Linked DNA regions of Ovis aries. Each later gene encodes a partner of the first gene's protein in a complex. Links are inferred from orthologs where the notes say so. Each region holds a gene or a part of one and is shown on either strand. Other genes may lie near its edges.

Region 1 (4,890 bases):
CAAAAAAGAGAGAGAGAGAGAGAGAGGAGAAATAGAAGTATTCCATAAAGTCCTTGTGTACTTTAAATCTTTAGTAAATCGGGTTATTAATGTGGTGAGGAAATTTTGAAAATTATTCTCACAAACGCTGATTGAAACTAAAGCCAAATTCATTACACCAATGCATTCTTAACAAACTTAAGTGGTTGACTGAACTGAAATCCTATAAGCTGTTATAATTTTTGTTAGGTTTCAACCACTCGTTTCTACCATCCTAAAGCCAAAGTTAACAAAGGAATGAACATGTCAAGAGCAGGAGCTGCTTCACTGGGCAGGCATCCTAAGCACCCGGGACCTCTTACTACAACCATCTGGCCTTCAGACTAAGGCCTTTTGTGGCAGCCATGGTCCATAAGCCCATGAGGTATTTAGTGATTCAAGATATATTCATGCAAGAAAAGTCTCAATCCATCAGAACCCAGAAGTCATCAACTTTTTGTTCCTTTGAATCTGTGATTCTCAAACCTAACTGAGTATCAGAATTTCCTGGGAAGTTTAAAAAGACATACCCGAGGCCCCCTCTAGACATACCCAGTCAGAATCTCTGGAGGTAAGGCTCAGTCATCTGTAGTTTTAAGAGTTCCACAGAGATTCTGATGTGATTCCAGTTTCATGACTACTATGTTAACAGGCTGTGGAGAAAGTGCCTATCTGAAATACTTAAGTAGCAGAGTAAGGATGTGCTAGTTGGTAGAGAGCAGCAGCGTCAATTACCCTCAATCCTGCCCAGCACAGGAGAGAGAAGGGAAATGGCTCTTAGCGTTCTCCCTTTCTCCACACTTTCTTTGTGACCTGAGTCATTTGTCAAAGGGAAAAGAGCCATGTTCTGACCAAGATGCCTACTTTTCACCCCACAGGGATGGCTGCAGATTCACATACGTGCTTGCTGGACACTGTCAGTCTTTCCCTGTTGCTAAACGGGCAGAACTAAGAGCTGAGCACTCATTTCCTACTAGAGATTTAGTTTGCTAAATTAAGGTTGCCAAGGATCTATTGAAAATAGAGTAGGCACTCCTGAAGAACCCAAGGTGAGAGCAGCAAAGCATTTTAATAATAGCGGGGCAGGCTCTTTATTTGCAAAATACCACATCTACCCACATATCCCATAATGCACTGCATTAAAAAAAAAAAACCACGAGACCTACCTATTTTAGTTCTCTTTCAGGTGTTAGCATTTAAAAAAAAATCTCATTTAGGACCACAGCCAGAAAAAGTGTGCAGTTAGTAAAGTAGAAGAAAGGGCCAATGACTCCCAAAGGAATGAACACAATTTTTAATTAGTTTTCTTTTTTAATGTACATACACTTGTCTGAATGCCTCTGGCTGCCTACTTATGCTAGGTGACATGGCCCCATGACACCCCTCTCCCTAGAGCCGAGATGGTATTGGAGTAACACGACCCTATGGCAGAAAGTGAAGAGGAACTAAAAAGCCTCTTGATGAAAGTGAAAGAGGAGAGTGAAAAAGTTGGCTTAAAGCTCAACATTCAGAAAACGAAGATTATGGCATCTGGTCCCATCACTTCATGGCAAATAGATGGGGAAGCAGTGGAAACAGTGTCAGACTTTACTTTTGGGGGCTCCAAAATCACTGCAGATGGTGACTGCAGCTATGAAATTAAAAGACGCTTACTCCTTGGAAGGAAAGTTATGACCAACCTAGATAGCATATTGGAAAGCAGAGACATTACTTTGTCAACAAAGGTCCACCTAGTCAAGGCTATGGTTTTTCCAGCGGTCATGTATGGATGTGAGAGTTGGACTGTGAAGAAAGCTGAGCACCGAAGAATTGATGCTTTTGAACTGTGGTTTTGGAGAAGACTCTTGAGGGTCCCTTGGACTGCAAGGAGATCCAACCAGTCCATTCTAAAGGAGATCAGTCCTGTGTGTTCATTGGAAGGACTGATCCTAAAGCTGAAACTCCAATACTTTGGCCACCTCATGCAAAGAGTTGACTCATTGGAAAAGACTCTGATGCTGGGAGGGATTGGGGGCAGGAGGAGAAGGGGACGACAGAGGATGAGATGGCTGGACGGCATCACTGACTCGATGGACATGAGTTTAAGTAAACTTCAGGAGTTGGTGACGGACAGGGAGGCCTGGCATGCTGCGATTCATGGGGTCGCAAAGAGTCAGACACGACTGAGTGACTGAACTGAACTGAACTGAACTGAATGATCCTCTAGCGATAATTGGAGTGGGCCTGGAAAAACTTCTGGTCATGAAAGGATTGGAATGTAGGCTGGGGTTTGAGAATGTGTACAGCTATCTGTCTGTGCTCAGTTGCTATATGGCGAGGAAGAGTAGGTTGTGGGTGCTTGGTCAGCTACATGGGAAAGTACGTTCAAGGAAATAATTTAAGAGGTCCCACTAAAACACTTACCTCATGCCAGCAGCTGTACATGATGGCATATACCCTCTCCGAAGCGAGATGAGGCCTGTAGAGACGCAGGCCTTGGGCAATGTGCTCAGCTGTTTCACTGTTAGTAAATCTCTCATATGGCATCTTCCCCAGAGAGTAAATTTCCCACATCAGCACCCCTAGACAATGAAAAAACAAAATGTGTTGTTTCTAGGTAGGAGGGATCCTAGTGTTCCTAGATCAACTTCAAACATTACATTCAGCTCGTTCCACCCCCCACCCCACCCCTGGGCTTTTTTAAAATTTTGTTCAAACTTCTGCTATAGTACTGAGTACGCTGGAGGTAATCAGGATTGCCACGGACCATTAGTTCCTCTAGGAGAGAGACAACATCTTATTTGTGTTTGTGGTTATAGAGTCTGGCAGAGTCCTTGGTACATCATTAGTATTCAGAAGCTGTGGAATACTGAATGAATTGTTTGTTTCCCTCAATAGATTCTAAGTTCTAAGAAGGCAGGAATCGTGTCTACTTTACTGTTTTTAATCCCCAGAAACCCCTGTGGTGCCCGATTCCCTAAGGATTAGATGAATGAAAGCAAGAACAAATCACAGTCTCTCTGTGCAGGTTGCAGAGTGTGGATTTCCCAACAGCATTCATTTTCTTTTGAGCTGTATAAGCCATGTAATCGTATCCACTCACCAAAAGCCCAAATGTCAGATTTGCTGCTGAACTTGCTGTACATGAGAACTTCTGGTGGAGACCACCGGACAGGAAATTTGGAGCCTACTGAGCTTGTATATTCATCATCCAGAACATACCTGCAAAGGATTCAGGACTTGTTGCTGTTACAATTTGGAGAGTTTGATATTTGCTTAAAATTTCTTGGCAGAGCCATAAGAGTTGCACAAATACTGCAGGCGAACCAGTGTCTTTTACAAATGCCATTACTAACATATTCCTCTTTTCATATCTGACTTAGCTTTCCTGATTGACAGTATAGATACAGCAAGGATGAAGTGGAATAAGGTCTAATAGGTATTCCCTTCCCTCTTTTCTCTTTTCCCATCCTTCCCTTCCTTCAATCCTGCAGTCAACAATGGCAATTAGGCTCATTAGGAAAGGAGACAGAGTAAAGTCAACAAGATTAACAGAACAAGACAGAATATTGGGGAAATTAGCTTTTTAAAAAAAGAGAAAGGAGAAAGGAGAAGAGAGGACTATAACAATAAAACAGAAGGATGAAAAGTGACTTAAACCATTCAGAGAAAGAAAAGGTATAGAAAGATGGTGGAAAAAACTAGAATTATAGGGGGAAAGGGAGAAGATTAAAAGTTACAGTGTCACCTCACGTTTGTACTGTGCCAGTTTTACTTTTAAAGGGAAAGGTGAAAAAGACTGCACTCACCTGGACAGGCCAAAGTCAGATACTTTAACAACTCCTTGATCGTTAACCAAACAGTTTCGAGCTGCCTGTAGTGCAACAGACACCAGTGAGACTCTGTCCTTGGTGCACAGGTTAAGGGCACAAAGCTTCTGTCCACCAGAGGTGGGAAGCCTCATCTCCTTTATCTAGACACACCTTCCCACCTAACAGGAGTCAGCTGATGCCACTGAGGAATTTCGATATACTTCCATCACATATAGAGCAACCCCCATAATAAGTAAAGCACTGAAGACTTGAAGCATGATTTCACTCACACTGGTAATTCCATGACAACCCTTCGTGCGTTGAAATGTCGAGAGAATTAAGGGAGAACAGAAGGCAAGTGTGTTTTGTTTTCTGCTTTTCTACCGACAGGACTAGGGCTATTTCCGCCTTGGCATGGCTGGAATAAATATGCCCCGGGAGGCCAAGCAGGAGAAGTGATAGAGTGAAGTGGGTAGGTGGAGATGTCAGGAAAGTGTCTGGTTTAAGGGAGGCCAGCCACTTTCCTGTGATCAGCTAGACCATCCTGTAATACCAGGCCCATACTTTATAGGCTGACAGTTAACATGGCCTATGAGAATATGGGTCTGTTGATACAAGATGATGTCAATTTTCATGGGAAGCTGTAAATTCAGTTCTTTAATGTGAAATGTTTTTAAGTGTTTGGTAACTAATAATATAACATTTAAAAATGCACCAACAGACACCCAGTTTGTGACTCTGATATAACCAGAATGATGGTCCTGTGCTAAAAAACAGTTCCATCAGGATGAGGGCTGCCCTTCTGTCCCTGGAGGACTCCACCATTTCCTCGTCATAGTAGGAGGGGCTGCGAGTGACCATTACAGCTCCCATTGTGGGGAAACTTATGGTGTTGAGGCTGGAATTCCTTGACCAGCTGACCACTGGGGCAGAGGCTCACCAAACTTTTAGTATTTTCTAGATGAAATTGAAATCACGGCTCCAGCCACCTTCCTCAGCCATGGATGCATGATGTGCCTTCCTGTGCTACTTCCGCCCCCCTCACCCTTGGACCCAGACCAATCCTTCTGAGATCCTACCA
Region 2 (4,195 bases), on another chromosome or scaffold:
GAGTGGCTTTACTCATTATTGCTCCAAAATGGAAACAACCCAATGTCCTTCAGGTGGTGACTGAGGTAGATTTAGTAGAGATCATGTAAACATGCTCATGACTCAAGTCATCATGCCGAGAACACAGCTTGTTCCTGATCTTAATATAGGTCTAAATTATTTTTATTCTGGGATTAACTTATAATGATTAAAGATAGGAAGTATACTGAACATTGGCTGCTCCATATTTCCTCCTTCCAATAAATTCTATGAGGACTAAGATTTCTGTCGTATCTTATTCACTGTTAATATCTCCAGCATCTAAAGTAGTATTCACAAGCATATAGGGAAATAGGTGAAAGTGATTTAGATATAAAATTCAATGATAAAATAAATAAGCCATGGGGACATAATATACATACAGCAAAAACAATGTGGTTAGAAGCAATTATGACTTTGTTGTTGAAGTGTTAGTCGCTCAGTCGTGGCCGAGTCTTTGTGAACTCCATGGACTGTAGCCCGCGAGGCTCCTCTGTCCATAGAGTTCTCCAGGCAAGAATCCTGGAGTGGGCAGACATTCCCTTCTCCAGGGGATCTTCCCCACCCAGAGATCAAACCCAGGTCTCTTGCATTACAGGCAGATTCTTTACTGTCTGAGTCACAAGGGAAGCCAAAAGCAATTTTTATACTTCAAAGAAAAAAAAAAATTTTAATATGGTCAACAATATTGCAATAACTGTATAGGGGCAGATGGTTACTAGGCTTATCATGGTAACAACATTATATATGCAAACATCAAATCAGGACACAGCACACCTGAAACATATTATGTATGTTAACTGTATTTCAATTTTTAAAAAATGATATTAGAAGGGGGAAAAAAAGATCATCATGATTTTCCACTGTTACTTCTAACTACTTATTCCTAAGACTCTTGCCACCAGATAATGCTGTGACTATCATGAATTATCATGCTCAATCAACAGGATCCCAGTATTCTTACTGGTCTGCTGCAAAATCAGCCTTTATCTACCAGTTTCAACCTCATATGTAATAACAGTACCACAATTTTTGCCTTTCTCTTTAATTTGGTTCTTCTTCGTTTTGCTTTGGATTGACTTTTCATTTGATTCCACACTGTCGTGTAAATATTAGTAATTATGAAAAAGGAAATTCTTTTGAATGATTATGAATAAAAATGTTAAGAGAGAAATAACATCAGAGGGAGAGGGAGAGGGTGGGATGATTTGGGAGAATGGGAATTCTAACATGTATACTATCATGTAAGAATTGAATCGCCAGTCCATGTCTGACGTAGGGTGCAGCATGCTTGGGGCTGGTGCATGGGGATGACCCAGAGAGATGTTGTGGGGAGGAAGGTGGGAGGGGGGGTCATGTTTGGGAACGCATGTAAGAATTAAAGATTTTAAAATTAAAAAAATAAAATTAAATTAATTTTAAAAAAAGAAAAAATAATAATTTTTAAAAAAGAGAGAGAAATAACAGAAGTAAAATAGTAGCTAGTAGGCATACAAATATTTAATAAGTGAATAAATAAACTGTGTTAAAAATACAATGATAATGATTATCCACTTTGGATTTTCATTTTCTGAGATGAAAGACTATCCACAATTGAAATTTGTTGTTTTCAGAAGTGTTTACAAAAAGTACTTCTGGCCTTTTCCCTTATGTAACCATTTCAAGCAAAACACTAATTACAGAAGTAAACCAAGATTTTGTTTGGTCTTGTTTTCTAAAGGAAAAATTATAGCAAATGAAACACTGTTAATCAGAAAGCTGTTTTTGTCTTTTTAATATAGTATTAAATTCCAAATTACAGAATAAGCCAATCTCGTAGAGCCAAGGACAATCAAGTCATTTAAAATTCTGACAACTGGGAATTTCCTGGTGGTCCAGTAGTTAGGACTTGGTGTTTTCACTGCTGTTGCCCAGGTTCAATCCCTGAATAAGGACTGAGATCCCAGAAGCCACACAGAGACGCCAAAAATAAATACAATTATGACAATAAAACATGATTTTTCCTAAAAAAAAAAAATTTAGAGATTCCTCATTATTAGGAAAGTCACTCACCAGTCGAAACATTATCTATATGATATGATTCCACTCTTATAAAGTACCTAAAATAGTTGAATTCACAGAGACAGAAAGTAGAATGGTGGTTGCCAGGGGCTGGGAATATAAGGAATTAATGAAATGAATACAAGATTCAGTTTGGGAAGATAAAAAATGTTTGGAAATTGACAGTAGTAATGAATGAGGAATAAGGTGAATGTACTTAATGCCACAAAACTGTATACTTAAAAATGGATAAAATAGCAAATTTTATGTTATGTACATTTTATAATTTTTTAAAAAGACAGTATTACCTATTCCAAATTCCTCATTTTATAGATGAGGAAAGGCTCAAAGGGGTCACATGACTTGTCCAAGTTCATACAACTACTCAATAACATTCCACCCACAGCACTGCCTCTAAATTCTTTCCAGGCTATAGTAAAAAAAAAAATAGGACATACTGGTAGAAACAGAGTGACTAAAGAGAGATACATGACATATCACAAAAAGATAAAACTGTACAGAAAAAAATAATTTACAATTATAATCACTTAAAACTGATTATACAATTAGGTTTTTATTATATGCATTTTTATATTTGTCCTATTCCTAGATTCATTTAATGTCCCTTGTTTTTCTTTTTCCTTATCTTTTCCTAATGTATCGCCTTTTTGCTCTACTTTACATATTTTTATAATACTTTAAACAAAATGGAAAATACATAAATGTAATGTATGGCCACAACTGTGAATGAGGCATCAAGAATAAGTTAAATTATATCCTGAACACATGGTTTATAAAAGAAAAAAATCACAGAATATTCTACATTTTTCTACCAAAATAACTGTTACAATTTGGTGTCTTAAAAGGCTAATTCTCTAATGGTATAAAGAAGCTTTCTTATACTGAAATGTAAACTTAAAATACACAAACATGCCTACATCTTTTACACACAGAGTTGTATATACAAATACCTTTCAAAACAATTACCTTGGAAACCATTTGGCGTGTTCTACCCATGGGTCATCTCCAGATTCCCAACACCTTAAGCCACCATCACAACAAAAGCACTTGACATCATCATTGCGACCTAAAGAAAACACAAGAATAACTGAATACACACGTGTTCTAATATATTAATCAAAATGAACTAGATAAAACATACAGCTATACATTCTCTTACCTACATAATAGAAACCAGCACTTGCAAGCTGCTCGGGCTGAACTGGTACAGTAGATGGCCAGTACATAAATGTTCTCAGGCGAGCTGCATGTGTCTGCATACTCAAATTGGAAATGCTGAACCTCAGCGTTCCCAGAGAATTTTCCAAAAATGGACAGTTGGGAAAATTTCTCTGGTGTTCTAACATAGCATCATCCTTTGGTTCCCAGTTATTTAGCGTCCCACCACAGGCAAAACAGGCTACCCTGTCTCCAGGTCCTATATAATAAAAGCCAGCTCTTGTCAATTCTGACGGTGACAGAAAGGTTAATGGCCACATTTGATAAGTAAGAAATCTCGCTTCTTCAGTACTCATGGCATAACTGTAGGGGTTAGTCCTCAGTGGGGAAAAGTCTTCGACTGCTCGAGAATTAATAGGGTTTGGTGAAAGGTTGGAATAAGAACCACTGAATGATCTACCATGTTCCAAAGTGGGTGATAATGAGTGAGTAAAACTGTTTCTCATTGGAGAAGAAGCATTCTTAGAAGTGGATTCCAGACTAGTAACAGAAACTAGATTCTGAACAAAGCTACAGCTCGGATACAGTTGTTTATGCTTCTCAATAGGATTGTCTCCTTGTTTCCAGTTATCCAGCATCAGGCCACAACAGAAGCATTTGACCTTGTCATTCACACCAGTATAATAAAAACCAGCACGAGCAAGACTCCTTTCTGAGACAGGAACACCGGTGGGGAAAGTTGAATATGTAGACATTCGGTAGAGCTCACATGAAAAGTCGTATGTCATTTTTTGTTTGTTGCCACTTGTCCAATTTGACAAGACTGTGCTATCTTCCATCACACTCTTAATTTTTCGATACGAGGGATCCAGGACAAGTCTTTGGGAGGTAGTTTTGTGCATGAGTGATTTTTACTTTTTGACAGCAAAAATCCTTTACATGAAATTTTTCTTCTCTT

Evidence for each region.
Region 2: the proteins of BTK (region 1) and BIRC2 are in contact, whole or in part, in a crystal structure (PDB 6W7O), measured with the Homo sapiens proteins. The link is inferred for Ovis aries from reciprocal best matches to the Homo sapiens genes BTK and BIRC2. Residues at the interface, in NP_000052.1 of Homo sapiens: Leu483, Asn484, Arg487, Glu488, Tyr551, Ser557, Lys558, Arg562, Lys595, Met596, Tyr598, Glu599, Arg600, Phe601, Thr602, Glu605; in NP_001157.1 of Homo sapiens: Pro280, Ser281, Ser282, Asn301, Asp302, Asp303, Arg314, Cys315, Glu317, Ser318.

Annotation. Positions count from the first base shown.
Region 1 is NC_056080.1:133,028,023-133,032,912, forward strand, and holds part of BTK (tyrosine-protein kinase BTK), read right to left. Parts: coding exon 4,889-4,890; intron 3,872-4,888; coding exon 3,807-3,871; intron 3,220-3,806; coding exon 3,101-3,219; intron 2,580-3,100; coding exon 2,422-2,579; intron 1-2,421. UniProt on the Homo sapiens protein: Non-receptor tyrosine kinase indispensable for B lymphocyte development, differentiation and signaling. Binding of antigen to the B-cell antigen receptor (BCR) triggers signaling that ultimately leads to B-cell activation.
Region 2 is NC_056068.1:6,039,492-6,043,686, forward strand, and holds part of BIRC2 (baculoviral IAP repeat-containing protein 2), read right to left. Parts: 5' UTR 4,140-4,195; coding exon 3,239-4,139; intron 3,146-3,238; coding exon 3,046-3,145; intron 1-3,045. UniProt on the Homo sapiens protein: Multi-functional protein which regulates not only caspases and apoptosis, but also modulates inflammatory signaling and immunity, mitogenic kinase signaling, and cell proliferation, as well as cell invasion and metastasis.